Rattus norvegicus: one gene and its partner. The protein of the gene in region 2 interacts with the protein of the main gene of each other region in a pairwise test. Links are inferred from orthologs where the notes say so. Each region holds a gene or a part of one and is shown on either strand. Other genes may lie near its edges. The genes, in order: Cav1 and Kcna3.

Region 1 (4,316 bases), on a different chromosome or scaffold from region 2:
TCTCATGGTGAACAGCCAGCACATGTTACCTATTGTTTACCACACTGACTTTCTCCCTGCCATTCCTAACTAAAATCCATCCTTTTATTTCTAACACTGTACTGCTAACCACCCTCATTTGATCAGTATGACATACGCAAGTGTTGAAGTAGCACACTGCACCCCACTAACATTACGCTAATATCACATGCTAATAAAACAATAATTAAATTACTTACAAATAATATTTATAATTTATAATTCCTCATACATTGATAATTAATTAATTAGCAATTAATTCAAAGGATAGATTGTCTCTTTTCCCTCTAAGCAGGACCCAGATGATGAGTTCTTTTATCTATTTTCAGGCCCCAGGTTTTGTCTTCAAGACCCCATGCTCCTGCTTCTTGGTGGCCATTTTAAAATGTACTCTCTGTCCCATTCAGAGTACTACGGAAGTATTTGCATAGGAACGCTTAGGTAAAACATCCCTTTCATCCTTATTGGGGGTGGTGAGCTGCTGAGTTGCTGTCTCTAATTAGTAAAACGCAACCATGATTTATATTATTCCTCTTTACAATAAAACAAAAGGAGGTTGGTCAGCTTTTGAAACTGATATTTAGTTGTTAACATAAAAAAATTTTGTCAGACAACAACAACAACAACAACATATTCTCTCACAGCCAAGCACATATTCCTGGGCCAGTATCCTCTGCGGCAGAGGATGTAGTTCAGTGACAGAGTGTTTATCTCTAGGTAAAATGCACAAAGCCCTGGGTTTGATCTCAAGCCAAGGAGGGAAAAATCCTCTCTGGTAACAAGCTTGAACCTCCAAGTAAAATTTTCTGCAGTTGAAAACATTCAAAGTGCTTTATGATTACGGTATAACCTGTTGGTAGGAACTTCATTTTCTTTATTGCAGAGGCGCCCACACAGATTCCTTCGCTGTGTTTATATAAAAAATGTTCCCTCAGGTTCCCAGCCATCTCTTCTCTATCTTTCTCTGTGAAACAAGAAGAGAGATCAGTCCTAGTGGGTAATGGAACGTGGGCGAAGCGGGAAGGGAAGCGGCTTAGGATAGGGCAGAATTCTTTCCGTGGAGCCGGATGCCCATACTGGGCATCTCAGCAAACTCTTGTGCTCCCTCCACCCCTGCTGAGATGATGCACTGGGAAAACACGCGCTCTCCCCTGGATGCCTCTCTGTTGGTTTATAGCTGGGAAAACGTTGCCGCGGGTCTAAAATATCTGCCCAAACAGACAGCCTAGCTCTGATGAAGGCTTTCTCACAGGCTCTCAGCTCCCCGCGGGCGCTCCCCGCCCTCCGCTGCCAGAACCTTGGGGATGTGCCTAGACCCGGCGCAGAGCACGTCCCAGCCAACTGAGAGCAGAACAAACCCCTGGCCAACAGCCAAGAGGCTCCCTCTCAGCCACCGCCCCCCGCCAGCGCCTTTCCCCCTCTATACAATACAAGATCTTCCTTCCTCAGTTCTCTTAAATCACAGCCCAGGGAAACCTCCTCAGAGCCTGCAGCCAGCCACGCGCCAGCATGTCTGGGGGTAAATACGTAGACTCCGAGGTAGGCTTGGGTGAGGGCGCGCCGGCTCCAAAGTGCCTGCTTTTGCTATCTCGCACTCCAAATGCTCGGGCTGCTTTCCTAGCCCCAGCCCTCTCTCCACCTTCACAGCACTCGAGCTGGTACCGCGGAGGAATGGGCTGGGTGGGGAGGTGAAAAGCTAGGAATGCCTTAGGGCTTCCTTTTGGAGAGGGGACCAAAGGAGCCAACGGAGAAAAGAAGAACCCCCGGGTACTGTTTTATGAGTCTGAGTCTGCCAGACTTAGAGAAGTTTTCCAGATGACACTGTTCGCGAGACCCCCCTGCGGCGGTCCAGCCCCTACCTACTAAGAGGCTTAGAGCTGGTGGGGTGTGTGTGTGTGTGTGTGTGTGTGTGTGTGTGTGTGTGTGTGTGTGTGTGTGTGTTCGGGTAAAGGAGATTCATTTGCCCGCAGTCCTGAGGACAGCCCCCCGCAGGAGCCTAAAGTGGCTGGCATGGGCGGCGCCGTGCGTGTATAGCACTTAGCGAAGTTCTCGAGAACTTCAATAATTCTGCCCCTGAGAGGCCCGGAGGAGGTCCGAGGTGGGGGAGCCTCTTTCCTCACGAGTACCACCGCCATTGTCAACTACTTCTTGGTACTCTGGTGGACTGAATGTGGCGACCTGGGTTCCCCAATATGACTACGGTTCAGCCTGGAGTAGACAGCCTGGGGGTGATCTAAGTAAGGGTGGGTGAGGGAGTCCTTCAGGTGACATTTCGTTCTGGGGCATGGGGGCGGGGTGAGGGGTCTTGGTACATGCCTCTGTTTAAAGAAGTGTGTTAGATTGTGACCCACTTATTCACCCCCACGGCCTAAGGAACACCGTGGAGCACGGGGTGGAGTGGGGAGGTAAAAAGGGTAGGGGCTGCAGCAGGTGCAAGGGAGAAGCACTGAGGGACAGAGAAGATAGGATCATTAAGTCTGTCAGCAGGGTCCAGAGGGATCTTGATAATGTTGGAAGGGATCGTAGGACGGGGTTAACGGTTCAGAGAGGGACAGAGGAGCAGGTGAGGTTGAGGGACACGGGTGGCCTGGTGGAGAGAAGGAATACAGAGGAGGCGGAAAGCGAATCCCAACCCCTGGCCTAGGGAGCTACAGTCGGGAGTCGCGAGGAGTAGGAGGGCGCATGGGGCTTCGCCCTGACCCCTGGCGGCGGCGCGGGAGGCAGGCGCTCCCCGCCTGGTACCGAGGGGTGTGGTGTCCTCCGCTCCGTCCTCTTAAAAAGCTTGCAGCGTTGGAGTTTTCTGTGTGCAAAGCCTTTCTCCTGGGAGGTTGAAGCTAGCAAAAGTTGGAGCTCCAGGCTCCCCCCACCAACAGCCAGGCTGACTCTTGACTCTTGTTTTTCTTTCTGAACTCTTCTTCCCACCGCTGTTGCCGCCCTCCCCTGGCTTGGCCGGTTGCCCTCACAGGGACATCTCTACACTGTTCCCATCCGGGAACAGGGCAACATCTACAAGCCCAACAACAAGGCCATGGCAGACGAGGTGAATGAGAAGCAAGTGTACGACGCGCACACCAAGGAGATTGATCTGGTCAACCGCGACCCCAAGCATCTCAACGACGACGTGGTCAAGGTAAACACTGGTTGCTGTTTGCGTCCCTCAATGTAGTCTCCTAAGCTTTGGCAGACTGGCACTGTCTTTTGAGCTTAGCAGTGTGTGAGCCCCTGCGGGTCCAGTGTCAGAAATGTCGCATCTGCCAGCCTCCTCCTGCTGGCTAGTTCAGTAGGAATTTAGCCAGTTGTTGTGGGGGGGTGGGGAGTCCATAGACCCCCAGCCCCACACATGCACATTATTTCGGAACGGACGATGATTATGGTCCATTGGAAGGTTAAAGTCCAGTTACAGGTCTTTTATTTGTGGGTGAAACAATTGTGTGAGACTTTAGGTGAATATTAGGACGCAGAATGAGCATATCCCTTCAGCTAAATAATCTAAATGATTAGCCTAAAAATAGTAAATGAGTGGAAATGCTTCCAACCGTTAACATATGCAGATATATGTACAACTTTTGTATGCAGTGTGTGTGTGTGTGTGTGTGTGTGTGTGTGTTTAACTCTAAAAACATAGCACACGTGCATGGGCAAGCCAATTTACCAAACTGAAAATCATTTCCACCTCTTGACTTCTGGATCCCTCTAGTTAAATGTGTGCATCTGTGGTGAAAGCCAAGGTCAGCCTGCCCTGGGCTAAGAGAACACAGGCTGGTGTTCCATTTTACATTTTCAAGATGTACTTGCTGGGATTTAAAATACATTACTTTCCTGAGATGTTGACCCATGTAGACCTGACACAGTGGTCTGACTTTCATTATCAGTTCGTTATTCAACTTTGACCCTTTCAACAATTCTGGCTCAAGGAATTTCTTGTCTGAATCCGACTGGGTTGAGAAATCCTGGACTTGAGCTGTCCTTGGCAGAGGGTTTCCTCTGAGTGGCCTGGAGGGCCAAGGAAAATCCTAGCTTCGGGGGTTCCAGTGGGAAGGTGCTGTCCTGCCCAGCCCCTAATTCACCACTGAGGAGTGATGCGGCTTCCACCCACAGTCTCCTATCTAAGGATGGGAGGAGCTCCAATAGAGTTTCACCTTCATGAATAATATATTTCAGAAAGAGAAATAGTTTTCATCTACAACTGCAGGGAAAGTGTACCTGTCAAAATTGACTCTCTTGCTTTTCTGGGAGAGGGAAAGGAAAATTGGACCATTTTCTCCTGGCCACATTGTGGAATATTTAAACCCAGCAAT
Region 2 (4,000 bases):
TAGAAACCTGAGGGTGATTGTACTTCCGGCTTAGCTTCTCTCACTCCTCATCCCGGGATCACGATAGGGTCCCGAACTCAGAAGTATCTCCCAGGAGCAGACGGGAATAAATACAAAGCATCTCTTGCTGCGGAATTCAACACAATAAACAAATGCTGAGTCCCCGTGATTTCCAAGGTGCTCTGACAGTTGCTGACAGTAGAAGTTGGGCAAGCCCTCGTTGCCATAGAGTTTGGTGGTTGGGGGAGGTGGTAGGAATGACAACAAATCACTCTTGCATCAAATTGAATTTTCAGCTCACTTCGGAGAATGAGTGGTGTACGTCTAGACAATAGTTCCTCTTTCGCAATCAACAGTAATGATTCAAGGGAAAAACAACAGAATTTTGTAACTCTGGTACTTATACTTGGGGTAGCTAAAATGTTTGGGAACAGAAATTATGTTTAAAGCAACCAGTACACTTTGAAGAAACAGTTGGGGGAGGGGGTGTAAATGTTTTTCTGTAGGCCCAAATCAAGCAAGAGAGGCACCATCTGCAAAATGAAGGCTTTTTCCACATTATCAGCTAAAGCACACCTCAAGCTCCCTACCACACAGGTGTCATGGTATTAAGTAAACTCTAGGTATCAGGCCTGTTTATCACACAGTAAGGTGTGGTGAATTTTCGTTACCACCCCCCCCCCTTATTTTTCCCACTGTCCTGACCAGAAACTTGGCCCTGATTTTATAATGCTTGCCCACACTGAGCTAGCATTATAAAAGTGAGATCTCTGAATGCCTTTAAGGACCCTCTTTTTAAGCTACTGGGAAGACTTTAGACCCTACGTTACCCATTAACTCAGTTCTGCTTCCTTACAGCATCAACACCCAGGTTCTAGCATTCTTCTACCCCAGGATGCTGGGCCCAGAGTATCCTGAACTAGCACAGACAACCTAGCTTGCAGCCCCTCCTCCCAAGACACTCAGGGTCAGGAGGCTCAGCCAGCCCTGGCCCTCGTGCTTAGGACTTTTGTTACCTATTCTGGTGGAACTTGCCCTTCCTGCTGCCCAGACAAAGTATTAAAGAGTGTTAAGGACCAGGAGGGCCTTCGAGTGCTGAGGTGTGGTCCTTGCGCGGTTCTAATAGCCCTGAGATTAGGACTCGACCACGCGCAGGAAGGGAACGCGCGCTGACCAGGGGCGAGCAAGTAGAGCCCAGGAACGTGGTCGGGCGGCCGGGTTCCTCCAAGGCCAGTCTGGCAGGGTAGGGGTTCCGCGGGGTCTGGGTAGTGGGGTGCAAGTCGAAGGCGACCCAGTGACAAAAGAAGGGCGAGGAACAGGGGTGGCAAGCGGAAAGCGGAGCGCGCGCGCGCAGTGGGCGGGAAACCCGGGGGCGGCGGCAGAGAGGCGGGCGCGCGCCTCGCGGGGAGGGGTGCGGAGGAGGGAGGAGGAGGCGTCTGGACGGTGCAGCCGGGCGGGCCGCGCCAGCCCTGACAGAGCCTCGCGGCAGCCGCAGCAACAGGCGGCGGGGCCGGGCTCGTGGGGCAGAGGCGGTGGTGGGGCGGGGAGCTCCAGGAGGAGCGACTCGGAGCTGGCCACCGCCAGCAGGGAAGGAGAGCATCGCCGCCTCCCGCGCTCGGCCGCCGCAGCCCTCCGCCCGCCACCGCGCCCACCCTGCGCTGGACCCCGCGGGCGGCGGCGCGCGCATCCTGCAGAGCCCAGGCTACGCCGAGCTGCCGCCAGACATGACCGTGGTGCCCGGGGACCACCTGCTGGAGCCAGAAGCGGCGGGAGGCGGCGGCGGGGACCCGCCTCAGGGAGGCTGTGTCAGTGGCGGCGGCTGCGACCGCTACGAACCGCTGCCGCCCGCGCTGCCCGCCGCGGGCGAGCAGGATTGCTGCGGGGAGCGCGTGGTCATCAACATCTCCGGGCTGCGCTTCGAGACACAGCTCAAGACCCTCTGCCAGTTCCCTGAGACGCTGCTAGGCGACCCCAAGCGGCGCATGCGATACTTCGACCCGCTCCGCAATGAGTACTTCTTCGACCGCAACAGACCCAGCTTCGACGCCATCCTCTACTACTACCAGTCCGGGGGCCGCATCCGCCGGCCGGTCAACGTGCCCATCGACATCTTCTCCGAGGAGATCCGCTTCTACCAACTGGGTGAGGAGGCTATGGAGAAGTTCCGTGAGGACGAGGGCTTCCTGCGGGAGGAGGAGCGACCTCTGCCCCGCCGTGACTTCCAGCGCCAGGTGTGGCTGCTCTTCGAATACCCCGAGAGCTCCGGGCCGGCCCGGGGCATTGCCATCGTGTCAGTGCTGGTCATTCTCATCTCCATTGTCATCTTCTGCTTGGAGACACTACCCGAGTTTCGCGACGAGAAGGACTATCCCGCCTCTCCGTCGCAGGACGTGTTTGAGGCTGCCAACAACAGCACGTCGGGGGCCTCCTCTGGAGCCTCCAGCTTCTCGGACCCCTTCTTCGTAGTGGAGACCCTGTGCATCATCTGGTTCTCCTTTGAGCTGCTGGTGCGATTCTTTGCTTGCCCCAGTAAAGCCACCTTCTCCAGAAATATCATGAACCTGATAGACATTGTAGCCATCATCCCTTATTTTATTACTCTGGGCACTGAGCTGGCTGAGCGACAGGGTAATGGGCAGCAGGCTATGTCACTGGCCATCCTGAGGGTCATCCGCCTAGTAAGGGTCTTCCGCATCTTCAAGCTCTCCCGCCATTCTAAGGGGCTGCAGATCCTGGGACAGACACTGAAGGCTTCCATGCGAGAGCTGGGGCTGCTCATTTTCTTCCTTTTCATTGGGGTCATCCTTTTCTCCAGTGCAGTCTACTTTGCTGAGGCAGACGACCCTTCTTCGGGTTTTAACAGTATCCCGGATGCCTTCTGGTGGGCCGTGGTAACCATGACAACTGTCGGTTATGGTGATATGCACCCAGTGACCATAGGAGGCAAGATTGTGGGCTCTCTTTGTGCCATCGCAGGTGTCTTGACCATTGCATTGCCGGTTCCTGTGATTGTTTCCAACTTCAATTACTTCTACCACCGGGAGACAGAAGGGGAAGAGCAAGCCCAGTACATGCACGTGGGAAGCTGCCAGCACCTCTCCTCTTCAGCAGAGGAGCTCCGAAAAGCCCGGAGTAACTCCACTCTGAGTAAGTCGGAGTATATGGTGATCGAAGAGGGGGGTATGAACCACAGCGCCTTCCCCCAGACCCCCTTCAAAACGGGCAACTCCACTGCCACTTGCACCACCAACAATAATCCCAACTCCTGTGTCAACATCAAAAAGATATTCACTGATGTCTAATAGATGATACGATTGCCATTCTGTGCCCAGTATTGTGTGGAACATGCCCCCTTGGTCTGTGTATGCCCTTGATTTATACATTTCCAGACCATTCATCAAGGAAAGTACATGAAGAAGTGGAAAAGCACACTTCATTCTCCCTCTCCCTATTGCTTCATACTGAAACAGGTGCCTGGTTTTGCAAGTGGGCTGCATTCTCTCAGCTCTTTTTCTCTCTCCCTCTCTCTCTCCCTGTTTCTTAATTTTGTGAACAACAAACTTACATTAAGCTTGGTTTCTTGTGCAAGCCCTAAAGCTACATCCTGAGAGGAAATGAAACTATAGAGTCAGAGTAACTGTGTGACCTCAAAAATCAAAAGATAGTTGTTTCTTTACTAAGTAAAGGAGGCAGAACTTAAATGATGCTCCTGTTCGGTGGACTTTTCAGCATTATTTCCTGACTAAGTGTAACTACTTAACCTCTGGATGTGTGGGTGGAAAGTCTAACTAGAGTGTTGACGTGTAAACCCTCTATAATTTTTTTTTTGGACTGGCCTTTCAGTATGAATCTCCCCTCTAAGAATTTCAGGTTCACAATAACTTTGAACCAAAAGGGAAATGCCCCAAATGTCCTGATCTGACTATTAACTCTTCGGAGTTTGCAAAGCATTTTGAAAACATTAGACACAGATTCCAATGAAGTTGTGAGTTCATGCCCA

The links.
Region 1: the proteins of Kcna3 (region 2) and Cav1 come close enough for resonance energy transfer, tested with the Homo sapiens proteins (2 studies listed by BioGRID). The link is inferred for Rattus norvegicus from reciprocal best matches to the Homo sapiens genes KCNA3 and CAV1.

Annotation. Positions count from the first base shown.
Region 1 is NC_086022.1:46,605,166-46,609,481, forward strand, and holds the start of Cav1 (caveolin-1), read left to right. Parts: upstream 1-1,372; 5' UTR 1,373-1,527; coding exon 1,528-1,557; intron 1,558-2,102; exon of another isoform or gene 2,103-2,255; intron 2,256-2,806; exon of another isoform or gene 2,807-2,983; coding exon 2,984-3,148; intron 3,149-4,316. UniProt on the Homo sapiens protein: May act as a scaffolding protein within caveolar membranes. Forms a stable heterooligomeric complex with CAV2 that targets to lipid rafts and drives caveolae formation. Mediates the recruitment of CAVIN proteins (CAVIN1/2/3/4) to the caveolae.
Region 2 is NC_086020.1:197,318,854-197,322,853, forward strand, and holds Kcna3 (potassium voltage-gated channel subfamily A member 3), read left to right. Parts: upstream 1-1,470; 5' UTR 1,471-1,724; coding exon 1,725-3,302; 3' UTR 3,303-3,424; downstream 3,425-4,000.